Bombyx mori: one gene and its partner. The protein of the gene in region 2 binds, or shares a complex with, the protein of the main gene of each other region. Links are inferred from orthologs where the notes say so. Each region holds a gene or a part of one and is shown on either strand. Other genes may lie near its edges.

Region 1 (10,471 bases), on a different chromosome or scaffold from region 2:
GCTACGGTTGCATCTAAATATTCATTACATGGAAAGGCCCTTTAGATGTAGTATATGTGCCGTGAGCTTTCGCACACGGGGTCATTTACAAAAACACGAACGGTCTGCTTCACATCACAACAAAATATCAATGACTTCAACATTCGGGGCAGCAACGTCGTTTAATCCCAGACCGTTTAGATGCTCCGACTGTAATATAGCGTTCCGAATTCATGGACATCTTGCTAAACACTTAAGAAGTAAAATGCATGTTATGCGTTTAGAGTGTTTGTTTAAATTACCTTTTGGTACATTCACCGAGATTGAACGCGCCGGTGTTAGTTTGACAGATATAGACACAACAGATTGTGATAGTTCGCTGGCTAGCTTGCAATTGCTCGCAAGGAAGCTTCACGAAAAAGATCCAACAAAATTGGAATATCGAGATCCTAACGGTCTAACAATAGTAGAACTACCTGCAGGCAGGGAACTGTCGGAAGACGAAGATAACACACCCGCCGATAACGCATGTGTTAGTGAAAAAAACAGTAATGGAAAAACAAGTGAAGGTAATGAAGATCAAGAAATGGAAACACGTGTTAACTGTAGTGCCACAGATATTTAGTGCCAAAATTATATTACGTACATAGTGTATTTTAATGTGCAGTTTTATTTTGTTTTTAATTTAAGTGTAATTATTAAAGCTGGGGTTACTCAGATTCGTGTGAAAACAATTGTACGCTTTAAGATTGTAACATACTCTAACATTAAAAATTCGAAAAATATTAATATGTATCTTGTAAATATCTCCACGTAATATTAAATTTGTTAAATTTGCTTTTAATGTAAGTCTTATTATGTATTAATACTGTTATTTGTAATTTCTACAGAGATAATATTTGTTGAATTGTATTTGAAAACGAAGACCTAGATGGGATATATTATTGCGACAGAAAAAAAAGAGGTCCACATTTTTTAAACTACGCTTAAATATCAGTCAAACATATTACATTGTCATAGGAGTAGTCGGATGATATATAGAATAGAACAGCACTTTTGTATGAATTTTTGTATGACATATTTACCACTTCATATTTATACTATGTAACTACTACTTCCATAAATTTAAAACAATTGGCATATCAACTTCCATACACTAAACGTAGATATGAATAAAAAACAAAAATGTCTTCCATAAAAATGTACGGAAATAAATTGAATTTAGTTTCTTTAAAGTTATAATCAATTTGTATACATGTTTAAGCTGGGCTCTCCGATTTAAAAAAATTATATTAATAGTAGTATAGTTTTGATTCCTACTATTATGCATTACTATTATTCATTTAATTTTTATAGTCCAATGTAAAAATAATTATTAGTGTGAATGATCAATGATCTGCATGTTTTGTCTTTTTTGTAAGGGATAGGTTACAGAGCCTAGTTTTTTATATATAATGTACTGTTATTTGAAAAGTATATATATATTCATTGTTAAACTATTTTTCTAGAAATTAAGCTTTATGGCGCTAATATGAAATTAAGCTTCATTGAAGCTGCAGACCACAAGCTGTTCGAAAATATCACTATTAATAATACCAATCAAATCAAATTCAAATTTTTAAAATATATGATATCATCATTATGTTTCTTTATTGTAGTATATATATGTCTTATATTGTTATATAATATATTGTATAAACTATTTTAATAACGATGTAGATTTACAATAACATTTTTACAATATTTTCGAACTGGGTTGCTGCACTGCGCCTTATACTACTATTGTACTATACCATATTGGAATATCAATTTTCAAAAACAAACTACTTAGTTATTTTTGTAAATATCTTGTGTCTGATCATATCACGGGACTGTCATAATTATTAAGGTACAAAATGTATTTAAGTACCACCATAATAAATAACTATCTATTAAAATATATATGTACATAATCGATAAAAACCTAAATCTACCATTATGATCAAGAAGCTTATAGCAACAGAAAGGCATCGACGCTAATCAATGATTTATAATTATAGGCTCCTAATTCTAAAACTTATACAAAAAATCTGCTATACGTTTTAATTGAAAAAACTGTTGAAATAGACATTCAAGCGGAAACGATAAATCGTATCAGTCTCGAGAGGCGACATAAAGTGCGGTAAATAAAAAAATAAATATTTTAAACAAAATAACATGCATACTTAAATAATTCACATCTACAAATAATGTTTCTAATATTAATCCAATTCCGGATTGGCATGAAAGAAAAATGATAATATTCAATATAATTTCAATTGAATGCCTATTTACTGGTATTGTCATTATTCACATTATTTTAAATCATACATGATCCATCCTTTCATCTCTCATTACAGACGGGACTCTATCAATTTTACTTGCCCTTGTTTACCATTACTTATAAGATCAAACCGTTTACAATTTAAATAACAAAATCAAAATTCGATATGTTACTCAAAAATGTGATCCGACGTTATAATTCTCGCACTATCCAATAAAATTGTTTCCAATTCTTTGCTATTCCATTGTTGTGCGAGCGGCTCTTTTTCCATTTAAGCCAGTGTGCTTAGTGCGAGTTTTTTTAACGTTCTCGATAGCGTAAAAGTTAGGTCATATTTGTATGGAATGGGATCGCTTGCGTACGTTTGCCGCTAGGGGCGGTTCCAATTGCATACAAAATTGGCTTAACTTTTACGTTATCGAGAACGTTCAGAAGCTCGCACTAAGCACACAGGTGGCCTGTAAGCGGTCTTATCTACAATAATAAGTTGTTCTAACTGATTAAATCCATCTAATAAAATTTCAATGGTTCGGTACTAAACGTTTCATATTAAACGTCCCCAAGCTAGGGTTTTCCCCTTTGTTATAATGGGTGCTTGAAAGTTAAACATGACAAATGTATGTACATTTAGTCCTCGAATGCCAAATGTTTTTAATGAAGAAGCTGACTTCGAATTTAAAGAGGACTCTGTGATACAATAGGTAGCTAAAGTCAACTCTACTAATTCAGCAAAGCCATAAATACATATTTAAATGCGTATTTTACAGAATACAAATAGCTCATTTCCATATTAGTTTTTCAATGAAATTATCTCCTCTGTTAGCCACTAGTATGATTTTAAATAAATACATAATTATTATTTTCAAAACACTTGCGAATAGAAATATAAGCTTTTTAAAGATAATCATTTAGTTATTTCAAGTTTAAAATGATTTTTAATTGATATTTTTCTATGTAATTTTTATATTTCAACTACCGATAAATTGAAATTTATTACGTCATCTGTATAGTTCTCTAATTGGGACATAATATAAATTCGAGACAGAACATGTAAAGTTACTTGATCATAAACTGTCATGATTTTGTATTTTGTTTCCAAGAATGTTATTTGTATGTGCTATAAACTTTTTGATTATGATTAGTGAGTTGGTAACTATAGAATGGAATTAAATCTCTTTATTCAAATTTTCTTTATGCATGTGTATACCCATAGCATGTTTATATTCACTATTATATAACGTAAGCAAAAAGTTGACTTAGAGGAATGTGTGAAAAATTAAATTTGATATTAATGTCGTGAGTCCTAACAATTATTTATTGATAGTTTTTATGGATCGAAAAAAAATGTATATTTGTGGCTATTGTAAAATTTTAGACATACATTTTCTGGTGTTTTATTATGAGAGGTAATAATTTTAATAAATTGTTAAAACTTTATAATGATGAAGTTACATAATTAAAATACACTGAGATATTTCCCTTTTGTTTTTTTTATTAGTTGTTATTATTTAACGGAAGTTTTACGAAAGTACTCCATATTGACACTTTGCGTCTGGCGCCACTAGCGGTGTCGTGTGCAAAACTGGCCAACGGTCACACGTAAATGCCGCCACCCATGTTTACGATTAAAGGAATAACATCGTGTAATGAAAATCAAACCCGCAAAATTATAATTTGCGTAATTACTGGTGGTAGGACCTCTTGTGAGACCGCGCGGGTAGGTACCACCGCCCTGCTTATTTCTGCCGTGAAGCAGTAATGCGTTTCGGTTTGAAGGGTGAAGCAGCCGTTGTAATTATACTTGAGACCTTAGAACTTTATCTCAAGGTGGGTGGCGCATTTACGTTGTAGATGTCTATGGGCTCCAGTAACCACTTAACACCTGGTGGGCTGTGAGCTCATTCACCCATCGAAGCAATAAAAAAAAAAGATAATGAACTCATTTGATATCTATCTATAAAGTTACATATTTTTCTTGCACTTAAGTCTTTTTTTTTTAAGGCAGTAGTTCATTTAGAAACATCAAATAAGTTGATTGATACTTCAAATCATTCAGATTACTTATATCTATTGGGTACAATTTAGAACACATATATCATGGCGGTAGGTGGCATTCATGTTTTAATGTCTATGGGCTACCACCAGTATATAATGTAAAGTGATGATGTAGATCTATAAATCTACTATAAAAAAACTACCTTGTATATATTTTTTTTCATTGGTCAGTATTATTAGAGCATAGACAAAGTAACAAAAATACACATTAACCTTATTATAAATTTATTTCACTCTTCTGTGCATGATGTATCCACCGAACTTATCTTCTAGGGTTTTGTTTCCAGAATTCGTTTACCGAGCGTCAAACACAACCACTGAATTCTTACTTAAGGAAAATTTTTCAGAATATTACGAACAAAAATATGATGAATTTAAAATCAACACAAACTACAAAAAGGGTAATTTTCTGAAGATTTTAACAGATATGAGTCGTCTATTATCAAAGGTGGCAATCTGTACATTTGGACAATTTTTTTTTATTGATATGTCAATACAGATTTATTTGAATATAATCGTCTCCTTCAAAGAATACGGTTCAAAACCTGCATTAAATAAAGGTTAATAGTTAACCTGTTATTTATCTAAGATGTCGTTCCGAAGAGTTTTGTGACTGCCAATGGAATACAAAGTCAATAATTCGTTTTTCTGATTTACCAATCATTGTCCAAAAGTCAGATTGCCGCCTTTGATAATAGTCGACTCATTTATTACATTTATTTTCTTGCAAGCTCAATGTGATCTAAAGGATAAAACAGATGGTGTAGTTGTGTCAAGCTGTGCAACCATGCAAATGTGCAAATTGCATATACCAATATCCAAAGAAATATACTCTCGAAATGTGATCACGAATCACTTCCACAATGAAGGAATTAAATATGGGTGATACCTGTCAATACCTTTCTACTGATTAAAATCACTAGGCTGTATCCTAGTCCTATAATCTTTACTTTAAGAATATATTTATAGAATCAAAAGGATACGTCTTTTTGTTCTTTTCTTGTACATTATTCTGTAACCACATTCTCTGCACCTAATAGGATCTCTTGGTTTGATTTCATTCTCTTTGTGACATTCTGAAAATGATAATGAAAGCATCATTTGTTTTGCAGACCCATATTATAGTTTCAGGATTGCATTTATTAAAGAAACCAACATTTAAACAGTTGAAGTAGATGATCGGCAAAAACAATAATGTAGAAAAGGGCAAACAATATAATTTACTCTCAATTGAATCAATTTCATTTTTCTAATACTTTTAAGTTTAGGTTTTTTAAATTTTAATATTAATATTAACAAGTTTTATTAAAAGCACTTAAGCTTTTACGGCTTTTAGCTTTACTAAAGAACATTTATATTTATACAGATGCATTCCCCATTTGAAATATAGTAAAACAATAACACATTAAACAAAACGCCTTAATTTATACAATGTTATAAGACAGTGTGAATAATTTTATAATCTACTATACACAAAAGACAAATTAACTGATTTATTAATTCTTTGTTTAGTAGACATTGACAAGCTTAGTGTTATCGGTAAGAACATTTTAAAAGTAGTTTCTTTCTTTTTTCTATAAAAAATGTTCATAAATCAAGAGAAAAAGAAATACAAAAAAAATATTCAATTATTGGGGTATGCTGATACCTAACAATTATTAGGTTATTTTGTGTTAGTGTTTTACAAAGTGATAGAAGTTTTGTTATTATTTGGTTACACTGTACCTCCACAAACATATATCATTGGCACTTTAGTAACTGATTGCTCTTTCCCAGTTGTGTCAGCCATTATGTGCTAAAATAGAGAAAAATTAAATAATAATAAAAAATGTGTTTTATTTTAAATCACCAATTTGATTTAAGCTTTATATTAAGTGTATAATCTATGCTTTGGATTGTTATTTTGTGTGTAGAATCTATGGTTTTTGGATTTGTTTAATTAAGCCGCAAAGGGAACTTAAACCATAAAACGTTTTGTTCAAAAGAGGGCTTGTCTTGTTGAAGAAAAAAATACGTAAAAAAAGGAGTGGAAATTTAAAAGAAAAAATCATCGGGACATTGGAGGGGAACCGAGGATTATTTTTAATTATTTGTTCGTCGTTTGATCGTCAATGTTTGAATGTAAAATTATCTGTTCGTCTTTTATTTATTTATAATTAATTAAACAAATGATCACCCTTCAGTTGGCCCCTCTTACTAGATATCTTTGTTTTTATTGCTCAGATTAATTAATTTTGATCAATTATTGTTTGTTCGACGACTATTGGTGATTGTTCGATCATAAAAACAAGTAAATTCGAAATTATTAATTATTTTATATCTAATAAGCAAATTATCACCTCACGCCTACATTGCGCATGCGCCGGTTTTGTCAGTCAGATGGCAATGGCCGACGGCCGTATTTACTACCTTTTTGTTACGCGCGAACATTAACGAACAAACGACGAACAAATAATTAAAAATTAAAAAAATCGAAAATTAAAAAAGGGGACCAAATTCAGTGAGCCGTAAAGCAAATAAATGGCATATTTTTTTACATTTTATTTATGGATTGAGTTAGCTAATCTGTGCATTAAGCTCCCAAACATAGAAAAACAGACTTTTTGGCGGGAACGCGAGGAGTGATATTGTGTGATTTGTTATATTTTGTCTATTTAGTGTTTCTTCGGGTTTAAATGTGTAATAATGGTGGTTTATTAGCAGTTTAATATCTGTGAAAGTGCACAAATGTGGGAAAATGGAACAAAGCCGCTGGACGTAACTTCTCGGGATCCTCCAAAAAGTCCACTGAAAAATCTTAGTAAATGACCACCATTTTACTGAGATTATATTTCATCCCATATTTTCTCATTTCATTTCGTTTTCATTTCATTTCATGCCATGTTTCACAATAATCAACTTCATTTCATTTAATAATATCATTTTTCATATAAAAAAGTTATCATTAAAATTAAAATAAGACTTGACCTAAAGGTCTTAGTTACCAGGTCATAAAATCCCTTAAAAAAACAAACATAGTAAACAAAGAAATAAATATTTTTTCATTTTTTTCCCTACCTGCACCTGCCTATTCGCTTAATACTCGGCAAACTTCTTGAGCATTAGTTGACGTAGTGGGGGTAAGTTCGCGCATCGTACAATTACGTACAAAAATGTTAAGTTATTAAAAACAACATAATATGTATTTATTTATATATTTATTAGTACATGAACAAAAAATACAGGTTAATAATTGTAGTAATTTAATCTAGGGGTAAAATAGATATTCCTTCCATTAGGTCAAAACTAGGAGCTGGTGCCAGGTCTTGGATCAGCTGAAGCTGAGCTGGTATTTTTAATTGTTTTTTCGCTATCATAATCATGACCATCATCATCATCATCACTACTTTCTTCATCCGTGTCGCAATCATCGTCAGCAAAAATTACAAACTCATCAGTGACTAAATCTACCACATGATCACTTTTTACATACTCCGCCTCAATATCTTTTATCTTTTGACATATTCTACCCCATTCCGGAGCACCCATCACCGCGACCTTTTCCTTCACTAGCTCTATTACTTTGCCAGTGCTCCAGTCGACATTTTTGCTACTGACATACCCTTTAATAGCTGCCCAAGCCATTTCAATTGGGTTGAGGTCTGGATGGTATGGAGGTAAGCGAAGCACTGAATGGTTGTGGTTTGATAAAATTTTATCAATGCTGTATGTTTTGTGTTGTTCCTTATGTGCTTTAATCAAGCTAAAAAGCTGGGGTTTCAACATGTTTTCATCGTATGGAATTTCTTTTTCTTGTAACCATTTCTTCATATAGACTTTTTTGGCATTGGCAGTTGGAGCGGGGTCAGACTGTTTATAGTGATATGACGCATTGTTGACTACTACAACGGAATTTGGTGGCAGATTTGGTAGCAATTGACAACGCAGCCATTTTTCGTAGTTCAAATAGTTCATGTTATCGTGGTAGTCACCAGATTTTGTGCCAGCTTTAAACAAAAGAAGGGCATTGGGAACAAATCCATCTTCGGAGCCAGCATGCACTATTACTACACGCTGTCCTTTCGAAATTGGTTTTTTTAAACCCCCAGTTGATCCATCTGACCACGACATACCACTTGCATGTGATGAGTCGACATAGGACTCATCGGTGTACACTATCGGTCTTCCTTCTTGCCTATATTTAATTATTTTTTGGAGATATTCGATCCTTAGTAGTCGAATATTACTTTTTTCAATTAATAGCTTCCGATTATTTTCTGTTCTTTTCCATCTGAAGCCTAGCTCTTTCATAATTCGTCGTAAACTTCGTTCCGAGCCATTAAAATTTATATCTTCTTTCAATTTTTTACGAAGTCTTTCGACGGTAGGAAGTTCGCTGTTTGTTATGTGATAATTATGAATACATCTTTTTATTGCAGATTGGTCGAAACTATCAATTCCGGTAACTTTCTTCTTCCCTGATCTTTTTTTACCTGGAGTACGAAACACGGCGAGCAAGTTAGAGCCCTTCGCTTCATTAATAATACGCCTAACAGTACTGACTGATGTTTTTGTTGCCTCTGAAGTCTCTTTTACCGTTTCCATATCATTATTTCCCTGCTTTTTAAGAAAGCAATATACGTCGTACACCATTTTTCTAGCTTGTCTTTTTAATACTACACCAGTTTGACGTGGCATAGTATATTTTTTATAAAAAATCAAGAAACACTCAACAAATAGCAATAACAACAAAATCAACAAACAATAATAATTATAACAAATAACTTCAACGATTAATATTAATAGACTTTTCACTGTACGCAAGCGTACTTTTGGGAGCAAGCGGAACGAGTCTCAAATATATTAAGTGTATAATCTATGGGAACGAGGGCGCGGTGCGGGACGCAAGGTTCGACTGATCTACCAACAACGCGCTCGATACGATTTCCCCTGCCGTCGCGCCTCACCCTCACCACCAAAGTGATCTAAAATTCGGTTCTGCGCAGTCAAGGTCATTTGCTCACAAAGTTTACCGCATAGAGTAAGATTATATATTGTTTACCGGTTACAGCTGGCTATTTCAGCTTCTCAGTACTTCTCACCGACGGGTAGGTGAGCTCACCTCACTAGCTAAACCTGAGAGAATTTGCTAACACTAGGCCTAACAAAAATAGTCGCAGAATTCGCAGAATCTTCCACCGGATAAATATATAATAATAAATAATAATAATAATAAATTAAATATCGTTTGTATTCGGGTAATAACGCGCGGAAGAGAATATTTTTTTAATATTATTTTGTGTTTGTAGCATGTACTTTTTAAAAGATGCGTTTCTTAGATAATTTTGATCCTAAAAATTCAGCTCGTGAACGTAGAAAAGCAAACAGGAAAAAATATTTCACTTCGTAAGTTGAAACAATTTCTATTCTATTGAATCCGTTCAAGTCTGAATTTGTAATATATATAAATATATTTTCATCAATTTAATAGTCAATATTTCTAATGTTGCAGTCGAAAAGTGAAGAGAATTTATGATGACCACGGTCATATTGCTGAAACTGGCAAAGACTTGTGTGATTGCCTCGATGAGAAGTGTCCCGGATGCCATTTTCCATGTGCAAACTGCAATTCCAATAAATGTGGCCATGAGTGCAGGTATAAACAATATATTAATTTTAAACAATAATTAATCTTTCAAAATAATCATGGATATCAGATAGAGATAAATGCTGTGGTACAACACTTATTACTGGTTGTAGGACGTCTTAGAAGTCCACACGGGAAGGTACCACCACCCTGCCTATTTCTGCTGTGAAGCAGTAGGTAATGCGTTTTGGTTTGAAGGGTATGACAGCTTTTGTACTGTTAAAAGTGAGACCTTAGAACTCATGTCTCAAGGTGGGTGACGGCATTTACATTATAGATGCATCAGATGGGCTGTGAGCTCGACCACCTATCTAAGCAATCAAAACTTTTTTTTTTAAAGCCCTTATTCTCCTGTAAAATTTATTAAATTGCATAATTATGAGCAGTGACACATACAGTGGACTTGTTAGGTAAGATTGTTACCATTTTAGCAATTTGTCATGAAACAATTATGAGTATCCCTTTGAAGTATAAGACAACTGCTATTACAACACTTTGATCTTATGAGT
Region 2 (10,982 bases):
TTGTAACAAATGAGAAAACTATTTCGATGTTATTTTGATTCTGCAACATGCAAGTTTGCTAGACGACTTTTGGTCATTCTCCTTTCATATTTGTCTTACTTGGGTTAATTGAATTTAAGACTCGGAATTGTATATAAAATGTCCTTTTTGAGTTCAAGGATGTGGAGTATTGTACCTGACGTGATGATGACGGTCTGGAACCTCGCGAAGACCGGCCGCATCGCTATTGAGGAGTCCATACATCTGGACAAAAGAGATAGATTACAAATATTATAGTCATTGAGGATTTCTTTCTTCTCAACCATTATAGAAGTTCAACTTCTTTGGGCTAAACGAAATTCGACATTTATCGGGCTTTCGAAGAAAATAGTTATCTATCCTGTCGTTAAAGAAGTTTCACTTCTGCCATGTGACGTGCACTATTTTAGAATTTTAACATTTGCATCACACAAAACATACAACTTACTGATAAGGAAATACTCACGAAAAATGCAATATAGGATTCGAAACATTCGGCGTTTTGTCGTCGAAGGGCTCGATTATGATCGTGAAGCCCTTGGTGTAGGTCGAGACCAGGGTCGCGAGATGCGTGATCAGGACTAGCGATGATAAGTGCGACGGATCCGGTATCTGGAGCGTTCTCATCAGGGAGGCGAGGCGAGATGCGCAGAATCGTAGCGGCTTCCGTTCTATGCACACCCGACTCGATACGTCTTTTAAGAAACCTGTTGATCGTAATTTTACTGGGCATAATGTTCTACTAGACATTCTAGCCATTGTCCCATAATACTGTGCTTATTAATTTCAACATGATGAGAGTCACTTTGCACGAAATTTTCTTCTTTCTTTCCTTATTTTTATTGCCCTCGAAGATAGACGAGCGTACGGCCCACCTACTGGTGGTAGGACCTCTTGTGAGTCCGCCCGGGTAGGTACCACCACCCTGCCTATTTCAGCCGTGAAGCAGTAATGCGTTTCGGATTGAAAGGTGGGACAGCCGTTGTAACTATACTGAGACCTTAGAACTTGTCTCAAGGTGGGTGGCGCATTTACGTTGTAGATTTCTATGGGCTCCAGTAACCACTTAACACCAGGTGGGCTGTGAGCTCGTCCACCCATCTAAATAAAAAAAACCCAATAAAAAAAATTAAAGAAAACCTAATGGTAAGTGGTCACCGTCACTCATGAACGTCAGCAATGCCAGGGACACAAAAAAACCGCTGTCTACCGTTGAGTACTCGTTGTAAGCCTCATTTGACGACATGTCATATCTCATAGCGGATGTCATAGCGATTTCTTTTTCTTTACATCAATTTCTGTTTTTTCCAAGATCTCTGAAATTTACCAATATTATGAATAATGACTTTTTTTAACTAAAGTATTTTCTGCTAACTTTCGTACATATAGAGAAGAACGAGAAGTTAAACTTCTTTATCCTTTATTATTATTATTTAGTACAACACTACCACACTACCACACGGAATACTCATTGAACCCCTTAAATGTGGATATTAACGTTCGCGCCGTGACGATGGGCGTAGCCCGCTATTGCACAGGCAAAAACGGATCAATCAGGACTTCTCCGTAAGTAATGCATACCCGCAGGAGACTCTTGCACCACATGCTGTATGCGCAGTCTGGTCTTCACATATTCGATGAACCGCTTCAGGAAGCTGAGAAAGTGCTCGGCGTTCCTGATGTTACCGGGTACAACCTCTGCAATTATAAACAAAACTATCGATAAGGTGATAAACTATACTAATATATAAATCTACAGTGGTTTTTACGGATTCTCCGTTATAACTACTGAACCGTGCATCCGATTGAGTTGAAACTTGGTATCCATGTAGAAAATACAGGTACTTAATGTATACGCTAATATATATTAGAGTGTTGGACTCCCTAATAATAAAATCGATGAACACCGGCTGCACGCCCGAAAAAGTATCGCGTTCCGCTTGGGCGTGCAAGCGAGAGCGCGGAACAAGCGATAGAAAAGCACTAACTATTGGCCCAAGCGTTGGCTTATGACGCATATAACTCTCTTTTCGCGTGACGTCAGAGCTGGCAGTTCGGATAGTTGTGCTACTGACGTTATCACGTAAAGCTATCGTCCGTATACCGACTTTACAGACAACCATTCGGTCAGCACGGCTGACATACCCTACACACCGGAACACGTTGCTGCTTCGTGACATAAATAGGCAGGGTTCTAGTATTTACCCATACCGGCATTAAGAATTTCAGCATTTCATGTTTGTTATGTGATGTTATTCCTTCTTCAAAGAATTTATTCGTGTACAAGTGTTACACATGTGTACTTAAAACTCCTTACAAAAATATTTAAATCTGCTTGTGGGATAGCTTTTAACTTTTAATATATTTCTAAATAAGTAATACAATTTTAAATGAAACTCTCAGTCAATGAGGTTGTAATTAAAACGTTAGCCATGACAATTGCTCACCGTTCAACACTTCATCGGGTAAAATAGGGTTGCCCAGTATTGTATCAGTCTCCCTCTGTATGGCGGCGTCCTTCAGCCCTGCCACCAGTTGCTCGTACTCCATCGTAAGACGAGCCGCGTCTTCGTCACGAATTCTGTTAAGTTCAAATTTTCTCTTGTGTAATTGGAACCTAAGACTTGTATAATTGTAAAATCTATCTATCTATTGTAAAATCTTTGTAAAAGTCTGTTTTACTTCAATGCGCAAGTAAGATTGTGGTCCACCGGCTGTGAAGTGGTTGACGAGATGGACATCAGGTTACAAATATCTCTGAGGTTCCAATTACCTATAGGAACTATCTATATCTATAGCAGCTCTACCTCATATTAATGACTGCATAAATTCTTTTTGTTTTATTTTTATTTATTGCTTAGATGGGTGGACGACCTCATAGCCCACCTGGTGTTAAGTGGTTACCGGAGTCCATAGACATCTATAACGTATCGTAAATGCGCCACCCACCTTGAGATATGAGTTCTAAGATCTCAGTATAGTTACAACGGCTGCCCAAACCTTCACGGCAGAAATAGGCAGGGTGGTGGTACCTACCCGTGCGATTCAAAAGACGTTCAAAGTTGGTCGTGAGCCCGTCGTCTACCGCACTACAGTAATTAAAAAGGAAAGCAGCTACTTAATTACTCACTCTGCAACAGTCTTCTCAAGTTGCTGTAATGCCTGCGAGCTCTTGTCTATGGTCCGCCTCGTGATCTTCACACTAAGGGAGTCTATACACACGTTGTCTATGTTGTGAGCCTCATCAAACACGACCACCGCCTCCCTGTTCAGTTCCTTCGAGACAACTTCTGCTATTTTTGGATCTAGCAAATAGTGATATGAGTACACCACTATCTCAGCGTGAATTATCTGAAATATACCCGTGATATTGAATTAGATGGGAAGATTAGCTTGCGACCCACCTTATTAAGTTAAATTGTTACCAGAGGTGATAGACACCACACAGTAAATGTAGCAAACCTCAAGACATGAAGTGGAAGTTCTAGTTATTTAACTAGTCACATTAAGACTTCATAGACGAAATAGGTACAACGATAGTCCTCACCTGTGCAGGATAAAAATACTACCATCTTATTGAAATTGATGCTGGCTTAAGTAGTAGTAGATAGCTTTCAGTGAATAGATGAAATATGACAATTATTTTTTATTGAAATACAATACTAAAAACGTCAATTAATTAAAGAGAAATTTAATTAATTAATTAAAGAGAGATTAGTAGAAATTGTAACCAAATATATGTTTGGTAACTAATTAATATAAAAAAAAATTATATTTATATTCACATCGTGGGTGTCTAATCCAATAAGAATCAAAGTCTATGGTTTTTTGTTACCTCATCACAACACGAACTATGACAGTGTAAAATAAAAGTAAATGATAAAAAAATTCAAAACAAATTAAAAATTAATTAAATTACTGCTCACAGCAAATCTCGCAAGAAAATATGGACACCAATTTCTATCAGCACCATATTGTTTCATATCATCCATAGTGTAGACTCCGTATGGTAACATAGACTCTTTGCCTTCACGATTGAAGCCCTCATAAAATTGACCTGCAATAATATTCATTTAGTTCTACAAGTCTAACCAAATATGAGTTTAAGAGGATCTGAATATTTATCCAAAGATCCCCAGGCATATAACCTTTACCAACGTGTTACATAATGCAGCTCCATTGTGAAGTTGTATTATCTCAAGATACATAGCTATTTAAGCCTGTGTCTATGGGGTCACAATGACAAAATACAGTAATAGTTTTTTTATCCACAGTAGCAGGTACAGCCCACAGGATACTGAGCAGTGACTGATGCTTATCGGCATGTGAAATAAATAAATAATCAAGTTGCTACATATAGCGGTTGTAAATATCTTATATCTATGCAAGTCTTTCATATACTAATAAAATACATAATAAGCAAATGTTCTCGATTAACTTCCAAGGTGAAAGAAATAACATTGTGTAATAAAAATAAAAACCGCAAAATTATAATTTGCGTAACTACTGGTGGTAGGACCTCTTGTGAGTCCGCGCGGGTAGGTACCACCACCCCGCCTATTTCTGCCGTGAAGCAGTAATGCATTTCGGTTTGAAGGGTGGGGCAGTCATTGTAACTATACTGAGACCTTAGAACTTTTATCTCAAGGTGGGTGGCGCATTTACGTTGTAGATGTCTATGGGCTCCAGTAACCACTTAACACCAGGTGGACTGTGAGCTCATCCACCCATCTAAGCAATAAATAAAAATAAAAAAACAGATTAATTTAGACATATTTTATATGAGTCGACTATTATCAAAGCCGGCAATCTGACTTTTGGACAATGATTGGTAAATCAGAAAAACGAATTATTGACTTTGTATTCCATTGGCAGTCACAAAACTCTTCTGAACGACATCTTAGATAAATAACAGGTTAAGTATTAACCTTTATTTAATGCAGGTTTTGAACCGTATTCTTTGAAGGAGACGATTATATTCAAATCAATCTGTATTGACATATCAATAGGAGCCTCTGGGTCTGCGGAGGGACTTCGGTTCCCTCTGTATTTTGTACCGTATGTTCCATGGGGAGTGCTCTGAGGAATTGTTCGAGATGATACCAGCATCTCGTTTTTACCATCGCACCGCCCGCCACCGGAGTAGAGTTCATCCATACAACCTGGAGCCACTGCGATCATCCACAGTGCGTTTCCAGAGATCTTTTTTGCCACGTACCATCCGGCTATGGAATGAGCTCCCCTCCATGGTGTTTCCCGAGCGCTATGACATGTCCTTCTTCAAACGAGGCTTGTGGAGAGTATTAAGCGGTAGGCAGCGGCTTGGCTCTGCCCCTGGCATTGCTGAAGTCCATGGGCGACGGTAACCACTCACCATCAGGTGGGCCGTATGCCCGTCTGCCTACAAAGGCAATAAAAAAAAAATAAAAAAAACATATCAATAAAATTTTTTTGTCCAAATGCACAGATTGCCACCTTTGATAATAGACAACTCATATCAAGGCGAGAACTTACAAATTGGCACAGAGCTATCACGTTCATGCCTGTCTCGTATATAGCTTGCTGTGAGGGCATGACATTTGCCATCTACAAGCTTCCCTTCTCTTTCTCTTGATACCTGTTATTAAAAAAAATTACAATAGATTAATTTTTCGATAATATCCTATTAATAAAATAAATTTAAGTATGCATTTTCTCTACGCATTATTTTCAAATGAAGTGATGAGAGGTAATCATATTATTATGTGGTCCACATTATTTATTTGGTGGAAATTTCCCATGATGCCAAAAGTCACCTATAAGTTTAATAATTAACTTAAGTTCTTTAATAAAATTTTGTAGTGCTTTTGTTTCTCTTTGAAATAAATAAATCAAGGGCTTATGAAATAAGAGCTTCGGGAATGAAGTATTTTTTAATTATTTTAATAAGTTTCATGAGGTCTCTTTTTGTTATATATTGTAAATCTTCATTAGTTAAAAATTTCAATTTTTTTTATTTATCTTGCTGTTTCAAACTGGAATCTATGCCCTAGTTCCTTAGGCTGATTACTATTTGAGGAGCACTCAAAAGGAGAAAACAATTTATGATCATTTATGTTTTTCTAGCAGAATGATAAAGCCACAAACATGGCACCTACTTTTTAGGTATTAAATTACGTACAAGTGTTTCATCCAGTATCCTGATACTGAAATTTAGCAATCACAAATCAATAGAGCATGGGTCAAGGGTGGAAGGTTCTAATATTTTTTGTCTATGCATTTGTTACTTAAATTTGTTTTAAAATAATTCCAAAACAAAAGTAGAGCAGAAACTGGGCGTTTTGGACATGACATGAGAGGAGCTAGAACAGACTGCCCAAGACTGATATAAATGGAAGAATTTTATTTGAGCCCTACATCACGGCCTAGGGAAATAGAAAAGAAAGAAGAAGATAATTCCAAAAATATAGTACTAATCATAGATAACAAATGCACAATATTTTTTGTTCAGACTTATAAATTGAAACTTACATCAGGATGAATACATAAGTTTTTCCTGGAACTAAGAACAACTCCTGTTAAGTTCGGTTTCTCTCCTTGAGATTTCTCATAATAATTGAATAAATTCTTTAGTTCTTCTAACACTTTTTCTATTTCTGGCACTGTACGAGAGCAGTAGATTAACTTTCTGAAAAAGTATATGTACATATTTTTTTATAATTAATTAATTTTAATCATTAATGTTCTTGTTCATTTTAATTACCTGACATGATGAGGGTTCTGTATCATATAAGCTACGATTAAAGACAGGAGCGATATGGTTTTTCCGGTTCCGGAAGGCATCTCTAACAATCCATGTCCCTACAAGTTCAAGCAAGATACACAACATAACCTTAAAATTTTAGGATTTTGTTTAAAGTAGATTCCTTTTTTAATACAGATTTTGAATACCTTAGCGTCCAATGCACGTTTTAACTCTAACATATAAGCATACTGTTCCGGATAAATGTAATCGTATGGGAAATAGACCAATAAACCATCGACAGTTAGCCTGAAAAAGTAATGAGATTATTAAATTAATGGTATTTGTTTTTTTTATATATTCATTTATTAGTGACATACTTCATGGTGAAAATATAAGCCCTTCACAACTATCTATTTTAAATAATTATAAACAAACAAGTCAAGCAATACATGAATTAATTAAATAACCACTTTGTTTTGATTCGAGTGACAGACATATATTAAGTGTATAATCTATGTGACAGACTACCACAGAACACTATTACTTGCAGACTACCTACATTAAAAACTAATAATTTTTAATGGCTTTTATAACCTGGTAACTAAGACTTTTAAGTCATGTCTTATTTTAATTTATATAATTATTTTTATGAAAAATGATAAAATGGAGTGAAATGAAATGAAATGATAAATGACCACCATTTTACTGCGATTATATTTCATCCCATATCATCTCATCTCATTTCATTTTATTTCATCCTAGTTGATTAATGTCTCAAAATTATCATCTTGATTTCATTTCACTCCATATTATCATTTTTCATAAAAATAAGAATACCTATAAATTAAAATAAGACATGACCTAAAGGTCTTAGTTACCAGGTCATAAAATCACTTAAAAAAAGTGTAAGAAAGAAAAACACAAATAGTGACAAAATGACAAAATTAACATAGCAAAACATTGTTATTTTGATAATTATGGGGAGCGATACAGTCTGTCGGATCTGTCTGGAATTTAATGTTAAAATGTACAGTTTAAAGTTTTATCCATTGGAGACCTATTATGAAGATATCGTAGAAGTTAACGTAAGTTACATTCATTCGGAAAAGCTATTGTGTTGGATTTGTAACGTTTGACCGGGTTCTAGTTTGTATAGGAATTGAATTTGGTTTTTGTAATATTTAATAGTGAATTAAACAGTTTGTCATAATAATGATATTCCGTGAAAAGTAAATGCAACTTCTAAGATAAAAACAACAATTCTAACCTCAAATCCCGTAGAGCACGAATAATTATAAACTAGTAGATAGGTCGGCCTTTTTTTTACTGTCCTACATTGTTCCAATTTTCAATAAAAAAACGTGTATCAAAACAAAAACATGTGTATTTAAAAAAAAAAAATTATAATACCTTATTTGGATTCGCTGCTTGCTGCTTAATTGCTTTGGGATTATAATTGTTTATTCATACTTTGTTAATTGACGATGTTTTTATTTATTTTGCAGCCCGAATGTTCTCCAGATCTACCACAGTGTGTATGTTATCTTTGTGCAGGATTATTGAAAAAGTATAGCAGATTTAAAAGTAAATGCTTAGTTGCACAATCCTTATTTTATAAAATACTAAAGTCTGGTAAAAAGGTAATATTAGATTTTGTTCAAACCTTTTGTTAGACATTTTTATAAGTATAGGATGCATATTCTTTGGATCGTAGAAGTTAGTGCTATGATTTGTTCTAGCTTTTTCTCTCTGCTGAACAAAAATATAATCAAATATAAGTTTAACTAACTGTAGATCTAAAATTGGGAAACTAGACAAAACTAAATTACATAAAATTATTCAATTATGAAATATTAAATATAAATTATTAAAAAATGTGTGTCAAATCATGCTGATTATTCTAACTGAATTGGTGTCATATTATGGAAACAATCCTAACACATGCTCACAAAAGATTTCCAAGGATTAATTACGTGATAAAATAATAAATAAATCCACACATACTAAAAACCTTCCTTCCTTTTGTGTTTTCTAGAGATCTTTTAACAGTAAACAAACTGCTTGTAATGAATTCATTAAACTTTTTTTTGTTATAGCTTAGATTGGTGGATGAGCTTAAGGCCCACCTGGTGTGGTTGCCGGAGCTTATAGACATCTACAACGTAAATGCGCCACCCGCCTTGAGATATGAGTTCTAAGGTCTCAGTATAGTTACAACGACTGCCCTACCCTTCAGACCGAAACACATTACTGCTTCACGGCAGATATAGTCAGGGTGATGGTACCTACCAGTGCCGACTCACAAGAGGTTCTACCTCTAACTAAGCAATAAAAAAAGCATCATCATGTTTCAAGATAGTTGATGGCTTTCATGCTGTTTGTTATGTCTATGGACTACCATTACCACCTAACACCAGGAGCTAGTTTATAATTAAAACAAATAAAAAGAGCAAGAATGTTTTGCAGGTCAATATTGAATCAGTAAAATCATTAGATAAACACTATTTGAAAAAATCATTGACTATTTATACTGAAACGGATGTCACACCAACAGACTTATTCCACAACGATTCTCCTACAGAATATTTGGACATTCCAGCTGATGATAATATTATTATAGAAAATGAAGACTCATTAGAAATAAATGAAACAAATTCAGAAGACTATTGCAATATTGAATACCTAAGCGATGAAGATTATAGTGACTTACAATCTCAGTTGGATTCTAAAGAACTATCGTTGGTACATTTACAAGAAGAAATTAATACCAATAGTAATCTGAGCGAAAATGACATCAAAATTGAGGCTGTATCGAGTAGAGAATTCCAATTTGTTGATGTGAGTGTTATTAAGTGTAAATTGCTGGTGGTAGGGTAGCATGATCTTTTGATCTCACATGTCAAGATCAACGGGAATATTTCATGCAGAGATGTTTACGGACTTAGGTTATAAATTCATACCGTCTGAGCACATTCACTAATATATGCAAAGAACTCATAGATTTTACATATAGTTTTGTTTTTACTGGTTCATAGATTTTATTCATAAACTTATAAGGTTTAAAACCATAATTTATTTATTTATTTATTTATTACAGTCTTACAAACTAAAAGTTGAACCAAAACATTTGTAACATAACACATGTAAAGTGATAACTGATACTTATAAAGAGCTCCAGGTTTTGTTCTGAAGTTTACAGATATTTAGTTCACTCATATATGAGTACATTCTACATACACATACCTAAAACATAATATTTTCCCTTTGGTTCCTACTGAGACTAAAATCTTTTAAGGATGAGATTCTTCTATGATGTGGTCAGAATTGAGAGTGGACTGCTATACCCAAATTGAACCCATAACGGCCTTAATTAAAACTACTTTAATATTATTTTCCTTACAACACATACGGCACTCACCACTAAATTGTAAAGTATTTGAGTTGCTTAAAATTATATAATGACACAATGACCAGGCTCTGCTGCTGTGCAAAGAGTGAGAGTAAGTGTTCTAGAATATTAGATACTTCAGGTTTCTTGTAATTTACTCGTACTCTGTTCAAAGTCCGTACTCGGTGCTGAGTTATTATTTTAATTAGTGAAATATAAATTTAAGCACACATGTTGGGTAACATGTTAGTTAATTGTGTATTGATGTTATATCTATACAGCACTTAGTAATCCTTTTTAATGAAAAGGACAATAAATACCAGCACTAATACACTACACCAGTCTTATTAAATTAATAAAATAATCGAGAAAATATTCATTAAAGATCAAACATTCGTATCATCTATTGTTGATTAAAATGCTTCATAATTATGTAAAATTTTCGTATTCCATTCATCAATTACAAAAATAGCCGACTTAACCTAATAAGTGTATGGCTCTAATAAAGATTAAAAAAAAATCCAATTATTTCGTATATATAAAACCTTACCTACTTAACTGTATCAATTCTATAAAATATTCCAGACAATCGATGATATATCGTCATCACCATCAGAGAAAATTGGAGTTAAACAACCGAAGCGGATTAGTAAATCTAATATTTCTAAAACAGATTCTGAATATCCTATGGAAAAAATTAGAAGGACCACACTTGAAGTATCAGAAGATGAAATTAATCTAAACGAATGTTGTACCATACAGATTTTAAGCGTAAGTAACACTTCTAGTAAGATGCAAATTAATAAGTTTCTCTCACAAATAAGGAAATATTAAAACCAATTCTAATCTGGA

Evidence for each region.
Region 1: general transcription and DNA repair factor IIH helicase subunit XPD (region 2) and DNA-directed RNA polymerases I, II, and III subunit RPABC4 share a complex: the UniProt entries of both Homo sapiens proteins name them as parts of the TBP-based Pol II pre-initiation complex. The link is inferred for Bombyx mori from reciprocal best matches to the Homo sapiens genes ERCC2 and POLR2K.

The regions. Positions count from the first base shown.
Region 1 is NC_085111.1:12,246,480-12,256,950, reverse strand, and holds DNA-directed RNA polymerases I, II, and III subunit RPABC4, read right to left. Parts: upstream 6,319-10,471; 5' UTR 6,126-6,318; coding exon 6,062-6,125; intron 5,413-6,061; coding exon 5,320-5,412; intron 4,654-5,319; coding exon 4,631-4,653; 3' UTR 4,481-4,630; downstream 1-4,480. Other genes in the region: uncharacterized protein LOC101737452, read left to right, coding at 1-604; uncharacterized protein LOC119628526, read right to left, coding at 7,622-8,290; ARL14 effector protein-like, read left to right, coding at 9,642-9,721, 9,828-9,971. UniProt on the Homo sapiens protein: DNA-dependent RNA polymerase catalyzes the transcription of DNA into RNA using the four ribonucleoside triphosphates as substrates.
Region 2 is NC_085127.1:13,500,309-13,511,290, reverse strand, and holds the start of general transcription and DNA repair factor IIH helicase subunit XPD, read right to left. Parts: upstream 7,299-10,982; 5' UTR 7,125-7,298; coding exon 7,120-7,124; intron 7,049-7,119; coding exon 6,949-7,048; intron 6,859-6,948; coding exon 6,761-6,858; intron 6,686-6,760; coding exon 6,529-6,685; intron 5,636-6,528; coding exon 5,533-5,635; intron 4,076-5,532; coding exon 3,945-4,075; intron 3,370-3,944; coding exon 3,149-3,369; intron 2,600-3,148; coding exon 2,466-2,599; intron 1,717-2,465; coding exon 1,600-1,716; intron 726-1,599; coding exon 485-725; intron 244-484; coding exon 176-243; intron 1-175. Other genes in the region: zinc finger protein ZFP2, read left to right, coding at 7,720-7,827, 8,248-8,382, 9,209-9,580, 10,716-10,901. UniProt on the Homo sapiens protein: ATP-dependent 5'-3' DNA helicase. Component of the general transcription and DNA repair factor IIH (TFIIH) core complex, not absolutely essential for minimal transcription in vitro.